Danio rerio: one gene and its partner. The protein of the gene in region 2 purifies or fractionates together with the protein of the main gene of each other region. This does not show direct contact. Links are inferred from orthologs where the notes say so. Each region holds a gene or a part of one and is shown on either strand. Other genes may lie near its edges.

Region 1 (10,958 bases), on a different chromosome or scaffold from region 2:
AAAAAAGGAATAAATGTATTAAGGTGTTTGGCTGGAGTTGAGTGGGGTGCCAGTAGTACAGCATTAAAAAGAATTTATAATGCTGTGATAAGGTCAAACATTGATTATGGGTGTATGGTGTATAGTTCTACTAATAAAACATTGATTAAAAAAATAGAGGTCATACAAAATCAAGCTCTGAGGATATGTTGTGGTGCTTTTAGATCTTCTCCAGTGGCATCATTACAAGTTGAAATGGGAGAGATGCCATTAGAACATCGAATGTCTCAGCTGAGAATGAGATATTGGATAGGAATAAAAGGTCATTTGGAAAACCATCCTGTTAGATGTCTTTTAAAAGATTGCTGGGAGTATGTGTACAAAGAAATAGCAAGTTTTGGTTGGGTAGTAAGAAAGGAAATAAACAGTTTAGAATGGAAAGATCTGGAAGTTGCTCCATCTGTCATTATACCAACAATTCCCCCATGGGTGTTTCCTATGCCAGTAGTAGATCTGCAAATTCATGAAAGAATTCAAAACAAGGAGATAATTATTCCAACTAAATTATTAGTTCAAGAATATATCCAACAGAATTATTATTCTGTATTACAAATCTTTACAGATGGGTCGAAGGAACCTAAGTGTGGAAGAACTGCTGCTGCTGTATATATTCCACAATTTAACATCAAAATTGCAAAGAGATTATCAGATCACGTGTCAGTGTTTACCTCTGAATTATTAGCTATTATTATAGCACTTCAATGGATTGCAGAAGTCCAACCAGAAAAAGCAGTAATTTGTTCGGACTCAATGGCTGCACTTAAAAGCCTTCAAAGTGCCAAATCTGAAGCTAGACAAGATTTAGTATTTGAAATTTTACAAAATTTATTCACAATTAGGCAGTTAAGAATAATGGTTTCATTTCTCTGGGTACCGGCACATGTGGGTGTAGATGGGAATGAGGAAGCTGATATGCTAGCAAAAAAAGCTTTAAATAATGAGCAAATAGAAATTAAATTAGCATTAAGTAAAACAGAATTTAAAAGAATGATTGCAGTCGAAATATATAAGAAATGGCAACAGGTGTGGAACAAGGAGACCAAAGGAAGACATTTATATCAGATTCAGGAATTTGTAGGAAACGGGAGGAAAAGATACGGATATCGAAGGAAAGATGTCATCATAACAAGACTAAGGATAGGCCATACGTCATTAAATTACAGCTTGTATAAAATAGGAAAGCATGAATCAGGGAAGTGTGATAATTGTGGAGAGTTGGAAACAGTCAATCATATAATTTTAGAATGCCCAGCTTATGAAAGAGAGAGGTTTGATTTAATACAAGAATTAGGACAGCTGGAAGATAAGGTAATTTCTTTGAAAGTATTGCTAGGAAACGGGCTTAGACAATCAAAAATTCATGAGATATTAATTAAATATTTGGGAAATATAGGAATAATGCATAGAATTTAGTTTTTTTTTTTTTTTTTTTTTTCTTTTTTTTTTTTTTTTTTTTTTTTTTTTTTATATATATAATTTAATATAGTCATTTAATGTATATATAAGTGTTTTCCTTCTACTCCAATTATGTACAATCCACACTCCAGATCAGTAGGTGGCGGTAATGCACCTATTTTTGTTGGTTTGCCAAACCGCCATAAAACACCAGAAGAAGAAGAAGAAGAAGAAGAATGCGGCGACGTTAAGGTATGTAAAAAACTCTCAGCGTTTGTTTTTTATCCACAATTCGTTCTTTTGGATACTATTATTTATATGGTAGATAATATCCTGTATATGTATTCCGTTATTTGTCAACGAACGTAGCTTGCTCGTTGATCGCTAGTCGTTTCTTTTACAAGTTAGCCAGATGGCTACCTGGAATTAGTGCTTCGGTAACGTTAACGTTAGATATGTTGTGGATTATAAATATATATGTATGTTATTTTGTATTCGTCTCACGAACTCTTTCGTAACTTTTCAACTTATTTTCGACTGTGACACTAAAATAAGCTAAGTTAGTTGTTATCTTAACGTATTAAGGCTTGATATACACTTATTGCAGATTCCGAGATGTTTGTAATTTCTACTGGACTGTAACTTAGTAATGATATATTATCTACTGTTAAAGATCTTTGATATAGACAGAAAAGTAAAAAAAAAAAACTGGCAACCCTCTACTGTGGGTAATGACGTAAGTAGGAATAAAATGTGCAAATTATGCTAATGCAAGTTCACATTCCCATGTCTATTTAAAGTCCGTTTTTCTGAGGTTAAAGCAAATACTGAAGTATGTTGACTTTCCACAACACTGACAAACCATTTATAGCCATTGTCATTAAAGTGTCAGCATCTGGTTTAGTCAAAATTGTTCAATTAAGTCTTATCAACTCAGGTTTTTGTTTCCTTTCTAACAGGCTCATTAATTTGAAGTCAGCAAATCATGGCTGGCTTCAGGCAGGAGGATGTGGAGATCTACTATGACATGGGAGAGGAGTTAGGAAGGTAAGAGATGCCATTTCACTCCTTGAAACTCTACATCTACTTAAATCATTTTACATATAATAGATAAAACAATGATTAAAATTCAAATTAGCAAATCAATGCTTCAAAAACTATTTTTATTTTTGATGAAGAAATCAGTAAAGTTCTGTAATGATGTAGAATTTAAAGGAATAGGTCATACTGTTTGTCCTAGAGTTGCCAAGGCAATGTAGTGTTTGTGCTTATCAGTGCAGAACAAAAACAAACATTATGAAAGCCCTGCAATTTAAAAAAAGCCCAGCACACTCACTTAATCATCTGCAAACACTGAATCAAGCCTAGTCTTTCTTCCTATATATGGATGTAGAGGTTTCTGCTGCAGCATGACATCACTGCTTTAAAATGCACATGCTCAGTGTCTGAGCCTGAGAACAGCTGTACTGCAAAAGAGACTATAGTGAGGCTATGAGAAAAATACACAAGGACAGTAACTAATGATCCATACAGTGTTTATTTTTTTAAGAATAGAGAGCTCCACATCATAACTTTAACATTAACAGCACAGAAGAACAACATTGTTTGAGTCACTTTAAGATGCTGATGCTGCTGATGATTTCCAGCTGATGGATGATAAAAACATTGGCAGCCAGACCTGCTTTTATCAGCTCAAGTATTTAAAGCCACAGATGACAGAACAACTTTATTATAAATAGTACTTAAATGTGCAATGGAGGATATGCTAAAATGGTTATTGCTCATGGTTTAATAAAGTCTTTATTCAAATTTACAGTAAATGTTTTATTTTGTGCAATGTTTGTACTTCGTTTATGTCATTTTTTGCATTTAGGCTTGTTTCTTAAACAACTTTCAAAAATTGGTGATGTAGCCTTATATTTAGTCAAATTTAACGTATCTGTTTTTAAGACTTTATGTATAAGTATATTTTTATTACAATTTTGTGAATCACTTATAACAAAGTAAACAAACAAAAGGTCAACCAAATGCAGATATGTCAATGTGTTGTACAAACTATAGTTTCACCTTTCCAAATCTATAGTCAAGAGTGTAATAATTTGTCAAACTTTATCATAACAGTGTGATCTATTTATTTATTGTTATCTAATTCGTCAACATGATGTGAGTGAATTGTAGAGCTGGTACTAACACATATTATGTCCAGGTGCTTTCTTAAATGCTGTTTTCTCATAGCATTTTATTGGATTAAATTTGTTATTGAGAGGCAAGTGCTTTTTATTAGTTATAGCTAGTGCTTAATTTGTAAATGAACAATTTCTAGAAACAAAACCAGGAAATAAAAGTTAGAGTGACAGACGCCCACCAACTAAGCGGTTATATAAAAAAAAGCATCACATTTCTGAACAGTCTTTAATTATTTGTGCAATATAACGTTATAGGTCAACCATGGATCAAACAAACATGTTACTACAAACATAAATCGTATGAAACATCACTTTTCAGTTTACTAACATCACATTCAGTTCACTTCACTATTGAAGATGACCCACTCTGTCTAATATTCAAGAAGAGCCCAGTTTCCTTTCCGTCATGTTTTCTGGCTGACTTGAGTTTGCTTCTGTCTCCTGCTATCCTGATCCAGGGGTGCAGTTTCATCTTCTCTTGATCAGACTCATTGTCTTATTTACTTGTAATTTTTAAACAAATAATATATGCTTTACTGCCTCTGGCATTTTGAAAATACAAATATCATTTGGGTAAGCCACAATACCATTGTTTATTTTTCGCTGCTCACTGTGCGCGAAACAATAATCACCAACCAATGAGAGTGATTGTAAATGTAAGAAAGCTGATTGGTCAAAAGTGGCTTATTTCTGCATGAAAATGGCAATGCACAAATTCAGACAGTAGTTCACTTAATGGCCACTAGTATCGATAATAACAAGGTATTCCAACACAATCTCACAGCAATTCGTAACTTTTTGATTTATTGGCTAATTCATATGAATTCGTATGATCTAATTCGTATAATTTAGTTTGATTTGCGCATCCCCCAATGACGGTCGGGGTTAGGTGCCACGCCTCCTTTTTAAAATCGTACAATTTCGTACGACTGAACTCATACGGATTTGTACGAATTAGCCACTAAACTGGCAAAACGTAAAATACTTACGTTTCCTCGTGACATCAGGCTGGGTATTCTGTACACCACTGTTTCCCAATCCTGTTTTCGAAGGCACACCAACAGTATTGACTCTCTTCCTATTTAAACACACTTGAATCAAATCATCAGAACATTAGAAGAGAACCTGAAATGTTACCTCGTAAACCTGAAATGAATGCTTCAGATAAGTGAGGCCATGTCCACACACACACGGGTAGTTTTATGAACAGTTTTCCTAGCTTTTGTTTTTTTAAATAAATCTCTGTCCACATGAAATAGCAAAAATGCATTGTGATGCATGTTATAGGGATGCCGAATCAACAGGTGGCGATAATGACACTTATATTCAGCTCACACCAGATGGGAAATTCATTATATTACACGAATACATTGCATTCAAGTTTATGCAAACGTGAGTTCAGAGGCGCAACAATGCAGAATACACGATTAATTTGCTGCAAATGCGCAGAATTGGCCTCATTCACGTTTTCCCTGTTTGGAGTGAACCCAGCCGTGTTGGCCAATCAGAGAAGAGAAAACAGCAAAATATGTACTGTTGGTGTGCCTCCAGGAACAAGGTTGGTAAAAACGGCTGTACTCTACTACGCGTTGCCCCTGAAGGCTATACCCTATGACTACACATTAGGAGCGAGTGTTTAGTAAAATCATTCAGATGCAGTGATGTACAACAACATTTTATGACCTGACAGGTTACGAGGAAAATGCATTATATTCCAGAATAAAAACATGGCCAAAGGAAAACAATAATAGTTTTACTGCATTCAGAGCATCTCTCTCTCTTCTCTCTTTCTTATAAGAGTTTAATATTACAAGCCAAGAATATTTGTAACACATACAGGTTCAATTTCAGCACTGGGAAACCAGGGGGCCTGGTCACCCCATGTGTGGGACTGAATTATAAAGCCTAAAAAAATGCATCGTATCATATGAAAGCAAAAATTGCACGTTGTATATCCTATTCAAACTATTACAACATCATAATTTTCCCCTTTTTAATTGTTGTTTTTCTCTGCTTCAATTTACTGTGTTTCCCAGTGGCCAGTTTGCCATTGTGCGTAAATGCAAAGAAAAGAGCAGCGGAACTGAATATGCTGCCAAGTTTATCAAGAAGAGGCGTCTGTCCTCCAGCAGACGAGGCGTGAGCCGGGAGGAGATTGAGCGCGAGGTGAACATCCTTCGGGAGATTCAGCACAGCAACATCATCACACTCCATGACATCTTTGAGAACAAGACCGATGTGATCCTGATCCTGGAGCTGGTGTCTGGAGGAGAGCTCTTTGACTTTTTGGCTGAGAAGGAGTCACTTACTGAGGAGGAGGCCACGCAGTTCCTCAAGCAAATTCTGGACGGAGTTCACTACCTCCACTCTAAACGCATCGCTCATTTTGACTTGAAGGTACAATACTGTTTTGTTTTTTATGGGATACCGTGGATAAAAAAAAACTTGTATGGTTTGATAACTTAAATTATGTCTCTTACTAAAATATGTAGTTGAAAACCAATAAAAGATTTAAGCTATTTAAAAAAACATAAAATCTTGACTTAGAGGGTAGGGATGTAACGGTATTGTAAATTTTTAATTTTAATTTAAAAAAATATTAATTTTTTTCGATATTACCGAAGTCGCATGACTCGGTAAAACTATAGATCTTCTGAGAAAATTTGCTCAGGCGAATGAAGCGAACGGGAGGTAGCGGAAACTACAATTCCCATCAGCCCATGCTTGACCATCATCCCTTGCGGTCTGTTGTCGCTACAGATCCAGTAATGCGGAAATGGAGTGTGCTGCTAGAAGCGGGGATGAAAAAGAGCTGGAAAACTCTAAAGCGGGTGTTGTTGCGGCGCGCGTACTGAATAGCGGTGTTGTCGCGCGAGTTCTTATCAGCTGTGTTGTCGCGCGCGTACTGAATAGCGGTGTTGTCAGCACACTGTTCAGATTGATGCAGACATGAGACCTCTATCTTACTCATGGTTTGTCCTCTCAAGTGGGGGAAAGACAATGCACAACGTTACCCACTGCTGTCAACCTGGGCCAAGTCATATCTCTCTTGTCCCAGAAACCTCAGTCCCAAATGAGAGGGTTTTTTTTCTGTTGCAGGGGACATTGTAAATGCCCAGAGATACCAGCTTTTACCAGATTATATTTATATGATAATTTTCCTTTAAACCCATCTCTATCTAAGTGAGTGAGTGATTAAATGTTGAATGTGATGAGTTTTCAACAATACTAAATTGAAACTTTATTTTTTTACATGGTTTAATATTTTTTTGTTATTAAAATTGAAGTTCCTGTTTCAAAGCTTACAGATAGATGGCTAATTTGTATGTCATTGACACTTTTGGCACTTTTTTGGAGTATTTTCATAAGTTTTGTTTTTTTCTGTAAATGATTCAATAAATACCGTACCGTGACATTCATACCGAGGTATTACCGTACCGTGAAATTCTGATACCGTTACATCCCTATTAGAGGGTCATTAATTTAGTTGTACAGTACTTGAAATCCGAAAGTTGCTCACGGTGAACTACTAGCACTGTTTGTTTCCTTTTTTATGGCAACACAACTTGGGAGTTCAAAACAGTAATACAATGCCACATTGTTGGGATTTTTTGATGTAATTTTCAATTGAAGGGTATCAATATTCAGTTGAAGTTCTAACTCCTGTTTGTGTTGACCACCAAAAGATAAAAGTTTTATTGTACCTTTATTTTTATTTAGACCAAAGAGCTTAGAATGACCAAGAGGCGACACTCAATAGAACGTTCCATTGCAACAGCAGCGCCCAGCAACAGCCCCAGATTCCGCCATTTTGGAGTGAAAGTGATCGGCCGTCCATTGGATCTCATTACTGTCGCGATGGCAAGCAGCTGCGTTGTTTTTAATTAATTTATTTAAAAACCCCATTAAAGCAGAGATACAACCTGAAAGACGACAATACAATATTTGTTATCAAAATCATCAGCACTTTTAATAGCTTATTTTACTGACTTATAATATGCTGTTGTTCTATTGGAGTTTTCATTCCAAAATGGTCCCCGCGCCCTCTAGTGGCTGTTTCCCAAATTACAATAGAGTGTCGCCTCTTGGTCATTCTAAGCTCTTTGTTTAGACAAAGAAAACATGAATAAAATGTAAATATTAAAAGCCATAAATATTAGTGGAATATTTTCTAAATATTTTCTACTACATATTTTGGTAATAGACATATTTTTTATTAAATGAAGCTATACAAGTTTTTGCTCTTTTGTTAACGTAGATGCACGAAGACTCTCAATATTTTACATGTATTACAATAGTCTTGTCTCACTGTGTTTTTCAGCCTGAAAACATAATGCTGTTGGATAAAAATGTGCCGAACCCCAGAATCAAGTTGATCGATTTTGGAATTGCACATCAGATTAAGGATGGAAATGAATTTAAAAACATCTTTGGAACTCCTGAGTTTGTTGGTAGGATTTTAAGCTGCGTTTAGCTCTTAGTTATGATAACATTTATTAAAAAGTCTTAAATTTCCAATATCTTCCATAGCACCGGAAATTGTAAATTATGAACCCCTTGGGCTGGAGGCAGATATGTGGTGAGTCAATCGTTTAGTTGTTTAATTTACATTGCAACTCTAAGATGTTCGGTTCACAATTAGTCATGATTTATTTGTTTTCTTTCCTGCAGGAGTATCGGAGTTATCACTTATATACTGTAAGTAGTTGTTATCATGTTTGGCTGTATTGATCACATTGTATTTGGCTTGACAAATATTAATGCATTATTTACGCTTCTTAGCTTGAGTGGGGCTTCTCCATTTCTTGGTGAGACCAAACAAGAAACACTTACCAATATTTCAGCAGTCAACTATGACTTTGACGAAGAGTACTTCAGCAACACAAGTGAACTCGCGAAGGACTTCATTCGCCGACTGCTCGTCAAGGATCCCAAGTTAGTAGTATAAACCAATGTGGTCACTGAAATAAAACAAAACAGAAATATTGCATTATAAGCTTTTTCCACTCTCAAGCTGAACGTCAGGTACGTTTTCAGGTGTGTTTCAATGTGAGCCTTGAACAGCATGGCAACAAACCATTATAAGCCCAGAACTCTTGGCATGGTTAGCCAACTGTGTTGGGCTGGTAGAGCTTGTGTGCACATGTCATCACCAGTCTGTTTTCTGGCTACCAGTTTCTACATAGCTGGCTAGGGAGAAGAGTACGATGCGAATTACAGGGGGGTTTGATTAAGGCTTGAAGAACGTCAACAAGATGTATGGGGGGTTCTTTTTTATTTGAGAAAAAGTTCACTCTGATCTGTATTTTAAATTATAATGTTAATAATTAAAATAATAGATATCCAATTGACCAACGGTTCATACCATTTTGAATGCATAAATATGCCAATCAGTCTATGTGCAAAAAAAAAAAGTCAATCAACAGTCTGAAACCAGCAGATATAGAGCACCAATAGACACCTTAACACTCCACAAGACTGAATTCTCATAATATAGGTGTTTGTGTCTATATAAAGCCTAAAAAAAATCTAATTAGACTCATAGTTTGTATAGTTTGACCTAAAGTAAGCCGAAATAGCTAAGCAGGCAACAAATCGTTTATGTATGATTTGCACAATACAGAAGAGCACTATGCATTTAAATATTTGTGTTTTTTCTAAATGTCCTAAAAACATCTGATCACTGTCCATTTTGCATGGTCCATATTGTTACCTATTGCATGACTGGTGCATTTGTATTGCATTCCAAAGAGTACTGGTAATAGCACCACAGTAAAAAATGAAATCATTTCCTGCTGACTACACACAGTCAGAGTCAGATTGGAATTAAGTAAACAAAACCATTCGGCCTGATAGTGGAAAAGTGGCTAAAATCATCAGTAATTAAATGAAATCAGTTAAAAATTATTTTAAACCTTATTTAACCTTAAATATGTTTTTCCCTATTTAGTTTTTTCAGTTTCATGACATTGGCATATAACAGAATGACATACTAATAAAGTTAATTTGAAACATTTGTAAATACTATAATTAAAAATATAAATATTAGCAAACCAAATATTTTCATTTGTTTGTATTGACATTTATCTTCATATCTGCTTTTAACAATCAGAAAGAGAATGACAATCGAGGACAGTCTCCAGCACTCGTGGATCAAGGTTCAAATATTTTACTTTTCCTCCCATTTGACTTGTGCCACCATTTGTTCAGTGTTTAACACAGTTCTTGTCCCATCAGGTCATTAAGAGACGAAATGTTCGACCCGAAGAGAGCGAGCGCAAGCCTGAACGCAGGCGTCTGAAGACCACCCGTCTCAAAGAGTACACCATCAAATCCCACTCCAGCATGCCTCCCAACAACACCTACATCAACTTCGAGCGATTCTCCCAGGTCATGGAGGAGATCGCAGCGGCCGAAGAAGGCCTGCGAGAGCTGGAGAAAAACCAACGATCGTGTGGTGAGGATGTGACCGCTCTGCTCTCAATATATGAGGAGAAGGAAAGCTGGTACAAAGAGGAGAACGAAAGCATCGCCGCAGACCTCAGTCAGATCAAACAGGAGCTGCAGAAAGCACAAGCCCTGCGCAGACAGAGCCAGGAGGAGGCACGTGCTGCCATGCTGTCAGCTAATGCCCTCAAACGCAAATTCGGACGACTGGAGAACCGATACGAAGTTCTGGCTGAGCAGATGGACTCCGAGGTGCGCTGGGTGGAGGAGCTGGTGCGCACCATTTCAGCTGAAAACCACACTCGCAGCACCAGCATGGCTTGAGGTTTGCTTTTTCAATCTAATAATGGCTATCTACTATCTTCGCTTGGTGTGTGCAGAGATATATAGTGTTAAAAGATTAGTTCACATCCAGAATTGACATTTTTTTTAATGATTTGTTTGCCCCCTTTTCATCAGAGTTATTCATTGCTTTCTTTAGTCGAAGAAATCAAGATTTTTAGGGAGAATATGCTGGATTTTTTTCTCTTCATATAGAGGACTTCTATGGTGTTCAATAGTTTTTAAACTACTCTAAAAGATTTCAGATGAGGAATAAGAGTCTTACCCAAAGAAATCTGATATTTATGTTTAAAAGTTTATGATCTTCTAAATAATGACTAATCGTTTTGCTTATTTTTTCGTCTGTGGAATCCTTTGAAGCTGCATGAAAACAGCAGGTTGGATGTTAAATCCACAGAGTACAATAGAAGTCCAATATATTAAGAAACTTCACGTTTTCCTCAAAAACCTTCATTAATTTTCGACTAAAGAAAGTAAGAAGAAAGGGAGCGAGTAAATTACCAGGAAACTTCCATTCAGAAAGTGAACTAAACTTTAAATATTGCGTTA
Region 2 (11,589 bases):
ACAGAAAGAGATAATATGTAATAGAAGAGCAACACAAAGAGTGTCTGTCGGCATTTGGCAGAGAGCAAATACATCCAGCTTCAGATCTCCAGCTGAACATACTCCAGTACAGTGGCTCTCCACTGATTTTTCAAAAATAAGTGGTAACCAAACACAGTAAAGTATTTAGTACTCCATGTTGCTGGGGTTACTTTTACATAAATACAAGCACAAAATCGTTATTACAGAAAATCATCGAACAGCCCAAATGTTCTGACTTTAAATGACTTTTCTAGAGCTCCAATTCAACATCATTGATTACATAATCATAAGGCTGAGTGATTAACTGAAATCGACATTCAGAACCTTTAATCGAGCTCTTTTTCCATGTCGATTCGTTGACTACTTTTCCTTTCGAATCACATGACCCCACAAAACTGAAAAAGGTTCAGCACTTTCCAGCCATATTTGATCTCTATGGAGTTATTTCAATGACAAATGTTGTGAGCACAGTATTACAAGCTGAGAGTGCAATGATGTAGTATGAGCGCGTGAACGTTCATGCACAAAACTTACTGCATGCTCAAATATACGCAGCTGATTTATTTTAACATTTTCGAAAAAAAGTGACTGTTGGTTTTAGGCAACATGCGTTTTCAATTTCAGTTGTTCAAGGAGGATGGTTCAATAAATAATCATAGATAGTAGCTGGTGTGTGTTTCCTTCAAATAACTTAATATCAAGTAATACACCCTTCATTCAGAAATCTCTCCCTTGTAATATGTGAGCATATTTACTATACTTGTCAGTGAAATAAAAGACCTTTTTTAATAAATAAAATAATTGTTTATTAACTGTAATTGATTTAAAATGTTCAATTATTCAAGATTTTATTTTTATGCCAAGTGGCCCAGCCCTACGTAATCATGTACATCCAAAGAGTGAGAACACGTATGTGAATGCACCTCAGATCTCTAATAACGGATGTCAACATTAATAGCAATGCCTTGAAATACATTTTCTATTCGTGTCAGTATCGCCGACAGTAATGCTGGTCAGGACAGACACTGCGTCAAAAACAGCTGCACGTTACGATACAAAAATCCAATTATAGAATCAATGATTACATTTTATTTTATTCTATTTTTTAACAAATGAAAGCATTAAAATCATTTTGTAAAAACTCTCCAACCTAAAATGACTGAACAGTATTTTTTAAATGTATAAATAAAATATTTGATTTAAATATAAACAAGCCAATTATATATTTCTGAGCCTGGTTTCTCTCAATTTTTTTTCCCTTTACTTTCGTCAATTTGCTGAAGTTTGATCCTCGCCACTGGCTTGTTTGGTTGGGGCTTGTGGAGCTGGGCATTGATGGATTTGCTCTTCAGTATTTGGACTTTTTTAGCAGTGAATATTAAACCACACAGAACTGAACTAAACTAAACTGAACTCTGACAACTGGACTGACACAGTTTCAATTCTTTGTTAAGCTGCTTTGACACAATCTACATTGTAAAAGCGCTATAGAAATAAACCTGAATTGAATAGATTTAAAATAAAATAAATACTATTAGCATTAATTATTGTGCAATATATTTTTTTCTTTTGCTTCCCTAAATGCATGAGTAGCAGAACAACATGTGACTTTTTTATGATGACAACCCAGCACTGAGAAGCTTTAAAGATCACACTAAAATGCAACAAGATAGGTACAGCAAAACTCTAAATTAAAACAGTGTTAAACTTTAAACTTTTAACTCCTGGCATTCCAGAATCGTCCTTTGGTTTTAAACAACCTCACGGCCTGACTTCCATTCAGAACCAACTCCAATTCAGTCTGTCAAACTATGCTACTTTATCATAGAAACTCACATGAAGTTCAAATATTTAATCTCCACTCCATAAAATTCCTGTATCAACACAAAGGCAGGGCTTGTGCAAGATTCAAGTCTAAAGCTATAGAGTCATATAAGTGTCATATAAGCTATCAAGTGCCAGTATCCATAACAGTATTTAGTTCACAAGGCTAATTTACTGTTCATACTGAACACACTGACACAAGTGTTCCCTGACAGGCGCTGTCTCTCAGGCCTTACTGGAAATCCGTCAGTGCTCTGCATTTAAGTCGGGACAGGTCATGGCAGGTCCTCTCTGCACTCGTCCTCCCCGTCTTTGCTTTATGGGCCCCACCTGCCTAATGTAATGGAGCTTGTATTGGGGGTTGCTGCTGTTCTTTCTGTGCTTAGTGTTTTATTTTCATGTCAGTTTCCCAACCCCCCAACCGTCACCGCTGCAGCCTACCTGACAAATGCAGACTCGTTTGTGAGTGTGTGTGTGTGTGTGTGTGTGTGTGTGTGTGTGTGTGTGTGTGTGTGTGTGTGTGTGTGTACAAACAATTCTGTTCATAAATAATTGTTTTTGAATCAATGTTATCTTATAATTACATTAATTGTTTTTGCTTTCTTTCACACACTGATTTTTAATTCCTGAAGACAATTTATTTTAGCATGTAAGTGCTTTACTTCATTCGTAGCTTCTGTTTACACCTGGTATAGAGGAGTAAATTCTCCCAAAAATGATAATGCAATGATTGATTGCTGACCCTCATGTTGTCCCAAACCTCTGAAACATTTGTTCTCCTTCAGAATAGAAATTATGATATTTTATATTAAATCTGAGAGAATCGTCCTCTACAGACCACAAGATTCCTGACTTGTGCAAAGTCCATAAAGGTCCAGAAGCTCAAAACAGACTACATGCCTTCAGTGGTTCAATTGGAATATTATCAAGCTACAAGAATGCTTTTGTGCACACAGAAAAGAAAAATAACGACAACTTTTTCAACAGTTCCTTCTCATCAGATATTGTGCATGCATACACGAGTGACTTGTCAATAGACCCTTATCTCAAAGAAATAAGTGCTAGAAAATAGACAAGAGGTCAATCAAAACACTATGTGAAAATGCAAATATGTCTACTTGCTTTAGATTAAACAAACTGATGAGAAAAATCTGGAATCTGGATCTGGAATAAAAAGGTCCCTTTACTGAAATAATCGTTAACATTGTATAAACTCTACAAATAAGCCTGTAATGTGTCCAAGATTCCAAACTCTTTTAATCAAGTGTTCAAGTAGACTATTCCTTGATGGAATATTCAGTGTGAACACTCTACTCAACTAACATGTTCTACAAAATCGCACAAAATAATGCAAAAGTATACAAAATGAGAGACTTCTATTTTTAAAGTTCATGTGAAATCAACATTGAAATGAACGGGAAATCTCACTTGATAGTTTAAACCTTTGATTTCTTAGCTCACATGCCATAAACAGCAGCTGTCAAATATGCAAGTAAATTATTATTTGGCGTTTGCAGGGGTTCCCATACTTTTCAGCCTGTGACCCCCAAAATAACAATGCCAGTGACTTGCGACCCTCAAATTCTTCAGACGTGTAAAATATAAATACACAAATGTAGACAACAATAGGCCTATATAAAAACAAACATATTGACAACACAAAAAACTATGTACCATGTCATTTTTTTTAGTCATTTAATAATTTGTTTAATTTATTATTATCTTCACCAATAGAGACTGGTGGACACAAGGTTTTAAGCATCTATTCTTGGTTTAATTTTGGAAACGCCTATCAGAAATCAATTTTCAATATTCAGTTGTGGTCTGTATTTATTTTTAATGTATTTGATTTTAATAAAGGCGTCGGAAAGTGTAACCTGGTGCTATAAAATCAATCTGCTGCAGCTAATGCTTTGTTGTTAATCTAACATAAGCACACCAATCCCATGAAAAAAAATCATTTAAAGGCAGATGGCTTTTCATTTGCATGTTGTTTGTTTTATATTAGGGATGCTCAAACTTTTTCCTATTAAGGGCAAAAAAACAAAATTGATTGAGGCTAGTGGGCCAGAGGTAAATATAGTTGGATAATTTTATAGTTTATATAATATATATATATATATATATATATATATATATATATATATATATATATATATATATATATATATATATATATATATATATATATATATATATTTGTTAACTAATACAGTTTCTTCATTTACATTTTTTATGAACTTATAACAATAAAAACAGAACAATCTCATTTATGACAGAATTACACTTGTTTTGCCTTGATTTATCACCATCATACTCGCTTCTCTAAGATGAAATGGTGGGCCAAATCAAAGGTTACAATGGGCCAACCTTGGCCCACGTGCCTACTTTGGACATCTTTGTTTCAAATGCAACTATTAACTACTCTTTTCTGTGGGTTAGGGATAAAATATGGTTATTTTAATAGTTTAATATAATTTATTTGACTTTTGTAAACCACCAAGCGACCCCCTGTCATTACCCTGTGAACCTACTTTGGGAACCACTGGGCTAATAAATACTATACTTTAAGTTATTCTACTTAACTAGCATACTTCATGCATACTATGTAAGGAAGTGTGGAGTACTAGGACTTACTTCTCGCCACCTACTGGCGTACTTATGTAACCTGAGGGAAAAGTCTGAACAAATCAAAGCAAACCAAATTAGTCAAGAGATTCAAACGATCCAAATTATTAAACATTTTAGACATGAACATACCAAGATACACAAATGCAATTGCAAAGCCCAAACCAGCCTGACCTCCACATGACATCCCTTGGTTCTGTACCCACACAGCACGCAAGTCACAAATAATAAACACCTGGGTTTTAGGCCAAGGCAAAAACAGGACTTCCCACTTCTGATAAAAGCCTTAATATGAACCATTTAAGGCTAAGCTTCTGTTAAAAGACATCAAACGCGTTTAATTGAGTCTGTCAGCGTGTGTGTGCACGCACTTCGCATCTCTAATAACGGCTGTCAACATTAATAGCAATGACTTGAAATACATTTTCTATTCGTGTCAGTACCGTCGACAGTAATGCTGGTCAGGACAGACACTGCGTTAAAAAAGCTGCACGTTACGATACAGAAATCCAAATTTAACACGGGATATCTGACAGGCGAACATGAGCGTCCCAGTCCCACACCGCTGAATCTTGCTTGCTTATTCGGCAGAAACGCAGGAAGAAAACGCTTTCAAGGGCACGTGGAAAACCGCTTTATTTAAGAAGAAAATCAAACTATTTAGACTTTGACTCACGTCGACCCAAATTCCTTCAACGTCTGCGGTATTGTTCTCAGAGAAAGCGACTTTTCCTGTCTGAAAACTCACTATATTCTTGGGTGTACGTGGCGTGGATTGTAAATCGGTTTGACATTTCAATGCTCGCGCGCGACAAAGTGCAAATCGGGTAAAAATGTTACAAATGTAAACTTTACTTCGCTACACAGTGTGATGCTGCTGACGTAGAACAACCCCTACTGAATCTCTGGTTTAGCCTAAAAAAATCACAACATAAATCGGTTGTTTCAGTTACCGCTCGGCTACAAACACCCGCGGTTTGGAAAGTCCCAGTTAAGTTTACTTCTGCATCTCTACGTCGCTATCATTCCTCCACCAGCCACTAAATAACCGGACTAAAATCGCCGCAGTCCGGCTTATCATCGAGCTCCTCCGCTGCAGCGAACAGGAGGGGGAGGAGGGTGGCAAAGTTGCCGCAGTTTGGAGTTGTGTCTAGGGGGCCATATTCCACCATTCAGCTCCCCTTCCACTAAAACTAGCAACAAATTTCTCTTACCTTGAGCACCCGGAGAAGACCTGTTTTCGGAGGTAGCTCTCTGGAAGGGCAAACCGCGTTTGACTTTTTGAGGATGAATTGAGCAGTTCTCAGCAGGGTCCGCGCTGGTTCCTTCTCTCACCCCCTCCCTTGCGCAGCAGGATCAAACCATCACATTCCTTCGAGATCCAAACAATGAAAAAGGTGGGTTTTCCTTTGCCAAGAAAGACCCACCCCTAGAAGGACTACGCCGCCTGTGACCGCAGAAAGAACGCCCTGCTCGGCTAATACGATCCCGCCTTCCCCGAGGAGAGAGAGAGAGCAAGCGAGCGAGCGACGGGACACTCCAACACTCAAGCTCTAGAGGAAGCCAGAGGAATAACGGGAACTCAGATAGTTCATATTAGAGCTCGACTTTTTATTTAGCTCTACAGCAGAATAAATCAGATATTCAAACATTAAAAATGTAGATAAAAATTAACTGAATACACGAGTACTGTAAAAAAAATGCTTCACAGTGAAAACAAAAAATGAAAACATAAAATAAAATTCTGTATGTCGTCATTTGTGATGTCACTTCGCATGTGATTTCTGTGACCAAATATCAAGCAGTGCATCAGCAATTTCTATGCCCTATGAAATAGCAAACTTCCCCCTCCTAAAAAAAGTTTATATTTCTGATCCGACAGAGATGTTTGTTGGTAAAAATGTTTTTTTCTCATAAAAAAATATAGAAATTACAAAATTAGATCTCATTTTATTGAAAATGTTGTTACATTGTCACTTGTAATTTTCTATTGAAATAATTTATAGAAAGATTTGAAATGGGAAAAATATGGTCTTTGCAACAAAAATATGTCCTCACCAATAAAGTCAAATAAGTATCTTTTAAAATGATCCACACATTCATTAATTCATTCATTCATTCATTCATTCATTCATTCATTCATTCATTCATTTTCTTTTTGGCTTAGTCCCTTTATTAATCTGGAGTCACAACATCGGAATGAACTGCCAACTTATCCAACATGTTGCTGCGGATGCCAGTTAAGCTGCAACCCAATGCTGGAAAACACACTACAGACATTTTAGCGTACCCAAATCACCTATAGCGCATTTTGCTTTGGACTGTGGGGAAAACCGGAGCATCCAGAGGAAACCCACACAAACACAGGGAGGACATGCAAACTCTACACAGAAATGCCAACTGACCAAGCTTGAACCAGCGACCTTCTTGTGCTACTGCACCACCGTGTCACCCTATTCAGCAATTTGTATCCTATTTAACAATTTATGAAAAAATTTAATCCTAATATTGATGTAAAATGTTAATTTTGCAAGTTTCATACTGAAACTATTTTTTATTTATTTTGGTATTGTAATTATGTTGTACAATTTTGGAAACATATTGGATAATTTATTAATGATTATATACAATAAGATAGTTACTTTTAAAGATGTTATGTTTGGTTATTATGAATCTCTCTCTACTAAAAGAAATGCTTGTTTTGTTATAAATTTTATTTATTTTATTTGTAATTCCATTCCACAAATGCACATTTACTAATTCATTCATTTATTCATTTTCTTTCGGCTTAGTCCCTTTCAAATTTACAAATGCCAAACCATTTTTTCCTTTTTTTTTTTGCAAGAATTTAGTCATTATTTAATTTTTATTTTGTAATTGATTCTTAAACGTCTTACCCTCAAGTTTATTTCATGTTTTTTATAAGAACATAATAATCTATTATTATGATTACATATCTATTATTATAAAATAATAATTATTATATTATTTTCCATTTTTCTTTCTTTCTTTCTTTCTTTCTTTCTTTCTTTCTTTCTTTCTTTCTTTCTCTTATATCTTTTTTATTGACAACTGAATTCATATTCTGTATCGTATACAAATATTGATACCAACATGTCAACTTTTTTTGCAAATAAAACAAATATATCAAGCAATGCTTTAATAAAAACATTTAAACATAGGTATAAAAAATAACATAATGTCACTTTTGTTTTATATATTTATATAATTATGTGAATATATATTTTTATTTATTTATTTATATGTTTTAATATTATTATGCAAAAGGTACAGTGAACTATTCTGAGGGAAAATAAACCAACACACACAATTAGGACTTTGTGGCATTACTCCACATGGGAGCACATCCATTCTGCTATCAGGCAATGTTGCAATAAAAACATTAAAGTATAATAAAATAATCATTATGACTTTTATAATAAAGTCAAAAAGAAAACAACTTCTAAATGCAATTTTTTTTCTAACTACACAATTTTATCATCTAAGCATAATATTAAAAAGCCAGAAAAGGAATTTTTATAATTATTCATTCATTCAGTTTCCTTCGGCTTAGTCCCTTTATTCATCAGGGGTCGCCAAAGCGGAATGAACTGCCAACTATTCTAGATTCTAGCATATGTTTTACGCAGCGGATGACCGTTTAGCTGCAACCCATCACTGGGAAACACCCATACACACTCATTCACACACATACACTACAGCCAATGTAGTCTATTCAATTCACTTATAGCGCATTTCTTTGGACTGTGGAGGAAACTGACGCCAATACGGGGAAAACTCCGTTTTCATGTTCAGAAATGTTTCAGAAATGCCAACTGACCCAGCCGGGGCTCGAACCAGTGACCTTTTTGCTGTAAGGCAAGTGTGAGTGCTAACCACTGAATAAACATTATTTTATTGGTTTATTGGTTTAATCTTTATGATTATATTTTGGGTGTTTTTTTATTTGTACATTTCTATTGAAATGCTATCTTTAACATAATTACAATTTCATTAACTATAATTAAATTTAGATATTAACAACACCACTAATTAACGTCTCTAATAATAACTTTTCTTTGACATTTAAATGTCTTGGTATATTTAAATAATAAAACATACATTGATGTCTTTACAGTGCAGAAAGACAAGAATATGTTATGCAAAGGCAACCATGCAGAGGATCATATTAGGCTTATTTCCATCAGCAGAAATAGAATATTACTTGTCTTCACTTTTACAAAAGTAGCGGTCAGAAATAGCATACCCACTGCTAAAAAAAGGCAGCAATCCAGAAGAAAGACTTCCTCCAGTGCAGAATCTGAACCAACATCTGATTGCTGTTGTACAGTCTCAGCCCGCAAGACCACCAAACTCACAAACACCATTATATTTTTAGCAACCACTCTGATTTTAGATTGTGTTCATTTTTCGTTTCATTAGTTGTTTTAAAGCAAGGCATTGTGATTGCTCGTTAGAAAAAAAAAAAATTCTTAGAGAAGAGGTAAGAAGTGAAAATGTAAGTCTCAATGGTGAGTTCATTCATCAACTCCAAATTCACAGGATCCGATTTTTAAAAGCAAAGCAATTATATCTATATCTATATCTATATATCTATATATATATATATCTATATATATATATATATATATATATATATATATATATATATATATATATATATATATATATATATATATATATATATATATATATATAGATATAATTGCTTTGCTTTTAAAAGCAAAAAGCATATATATATCCTTACATTTATATTAATATTCTTCTACTACTGAAATTTACTATTTACGCACTCACTGAACTATATATACACACACACACACACACACACACACACACACACACACACACACACACACACACACACACACACACACACACACACACACACACACACACACACACACACACACACACACACACACACACACACACACACACACACACACACACACGAACAGTGTTTCTATGAGAAATTGTAACAATACAAAATGCAAATCTATTCTAATCTGTCAAGATGGAGGTAGTATTTAGAGGCTCTTGTATTCAAAATGAGAGTGATTAATACTGTATATTCATTGATATGTACTGTAGATGGATGCAATATGAGAGCAACTTTAACAAGTCATGTGTTTTTCTAACTGGCCAGTAGACATCAATGAACCAGGCTCATTTCATAACAGTGTAAGCTTCATATATATTATACACTGAAGGGGATGGCCGTTAAAATTAAGTCTTTCTCCAGTGGCAGTGATCCCGAATAAGCACATGGCAGAAATAATATGCTAAAAAGAGCCTAGTAGCCTCAGAGTGGCTGTAGTTACACTTGTCATAGTCAAGGATAATCTTCACCATATGTCTATGAACAGAAACAGTGTCTATGATATTAGCCTGTTGCATTTGTGATATATATTATGATAAAAACATTTTGCCCTATATAAAATGTCATTGTTTTAGATTATTTGTTTACACATACAATCTCATGTTGTTAATAGCATATATGTCAATGGCAGAAAGCAATCTTTCTATTTATTTCTCCCATGACGAGATTGGTTGCATTTTATTGAAAGTATAATGTCCTTGCTTTGTCCTTGCTTCTATCTCTGTAAATCAACATTTTTTTTTTTTGCTATTGTCTTCAAAGCATATGTAGCCTGCACACACATTTTATAAAACAAAATACTTTTTTATAAACACTATTAATATAGAAATGATTATTTATTGAGAGAGGCTGCACAGTGGTGCAGTGTGAAGCGATGTCGGCTCACAGCAAGAAGGTCGCTGGTGCGAGCCTCGGCTGGGTTAGTTGCCGTTTTTGTGTGGAGTTTGCATGTTCTCCCTTTGTTCGCGTGGGTTTCCTCCGGGTGCTCCGATTTCCCCCACAAGTCCAAAGACATGCACCATAGGTCAGTTGGGTAGGCTAAATTGTTCGTAGTGTATGTGTGTGAATGGATGTGAGTGGATGTTTCCTAGTGATAGGTTGCGGCTGGAAGGGCATCCGCTGCGTAAAACGTGCTGGATAAGTTGGCGGTTCATTCCGCTGTTGCGACCATAGATTAATAAAGACACTAAGCCGAAAAGAAAATTAATAAATGAATATTTATTTAGCATAATATTTAATAAACATCAGCTATGATTAAAAAAGTTATTATAAATATTTATAAAAGGCAATCAGTCAAAAATACGGCATTAAAATTGAAACGGCATCAAAATCAAACTTCAATCAAAAATGTTTGTTCTGAAATTAATAACAAAATACTGACATCAAATAGACTCAAAATGAACTCTGTTTCACATTTAACCACTACAGAGCCATATCTTTTATTCATTACGCCACAGCGGCATATAGAGGCATACATTGGCATATATTCCAGAAGAAGTGTTTGAGGAAAGGATATTTCCTGTATGAGTACATGAGCGAAGAACAGCTACTGATGATCTGAAACATTTTTTTAATAGGCCCCACATTTATAAATAAAGTCTAAATAACTGCTGTTCCCCTGTATTGTATTTTTAACTTTTTAGTATTTTTTAATTTCAAAAAACATTTTTCCACCACAACACTAATTGTGAGCAATGCTGAAGGCAATATTGAAGCAAATTGTGAAGTGATTCGTCTGGTGATTCTGGTGGAACATCACATAGCAAGAAAAGCTTCTCAGCCAATCAGATTCAAGAATCAGAACTAATTGTTGCATTGTAATCGTGTTTAAAATGAAGTAATTTTAATACAGCAATTTAATTATCTTTTTAATTTACACATCTGATCACTTGTATTTTTGGTTATAAGTATGAATGTCAAATAATATTCTCAAGTGAATTTCAGAACTCCTACACAAACCGTCACTGGTGAAATCAAAACAAAGTCCTTCACTCTTTAATTATTTTTTTTTTTGTGTAAAGCCACTGCATGTCCCAGCAAGAGAGCCTGTAGGTGGGGAGAACATCATAACCTCACACTGATTGGTGAAAGGTGAACCAAATATGTGGGAAAACATTCTCTTACATAACACACTAGAAATGTTTTCATTCGTCCCACCCCTTAACAGACTAATTCACATTTAGTATGTAGTATGCTTTAAAATTCTTGAAAGA

Evidence for each region. Proteins that work in one complex are often made in the same cells at the same time.
Region 1: the proteins of luzp1 (region 2) and dapk3 purify together in Homo sapiens (affinity purification with mass spectrometry; 3 studies listed by BioGRID and IntAct, with this or other methods). This does not show direct contact. The link is inferred for Danio rerio from reciprocal best matches to the Homo sapiens genes LUZP1 and DAPK3.

The regions. Positions count from the first base shown.
Region 1 is NC_133177.1:40,496,467-40,507,424, reverse strand, and holds part of dapk3 (death-associated protein kinase 3), read left to right. Parts: intron 1-1,586; 5' UTR 1,587-1,686; intron 1,687-2,393; 5' UTR 2,394-2,419; coding exon 2,420-2,481; intron 2,482-5,656; coding exon 5,657-6,017; intron 6,018-7,941; coding exon 7,942-8,071; intron 8,072-8,150; coding exon 8,151-8,199; intron 8,200-8,291; coding exon 8,292-8,318; intron 8,319-8,402; coding exon 8,403-8,555; intron 8,556-9,732; coding exon 9,733-9,778; intron 9,779-9,857; coding exon 9,858-10,391; 3' UTR 10,392-10,958. UniProt on the Homo sapiens protein: Serine/threonine kinase which is involved in the regulation of apoptosis, autophagy, transcription, translation and actin cytoskeleton reorganization. Involved in the regulation of smooth muscle contraction.
Region 2 is NC_133192.1:29,483,298-29,494,886, reverse strand, and holds the start of luzp1 (leucine zipper protein 1), read right to left. Parts: upstream 5,880-11,589; 5' UTR 5,688-5,879; intron 5,574-5,687; exon of another isoform or gene 4,606-5,573; intron 4,527-4,605; exon of another isoform or gene 4,483-4,526; intron 1-4,482.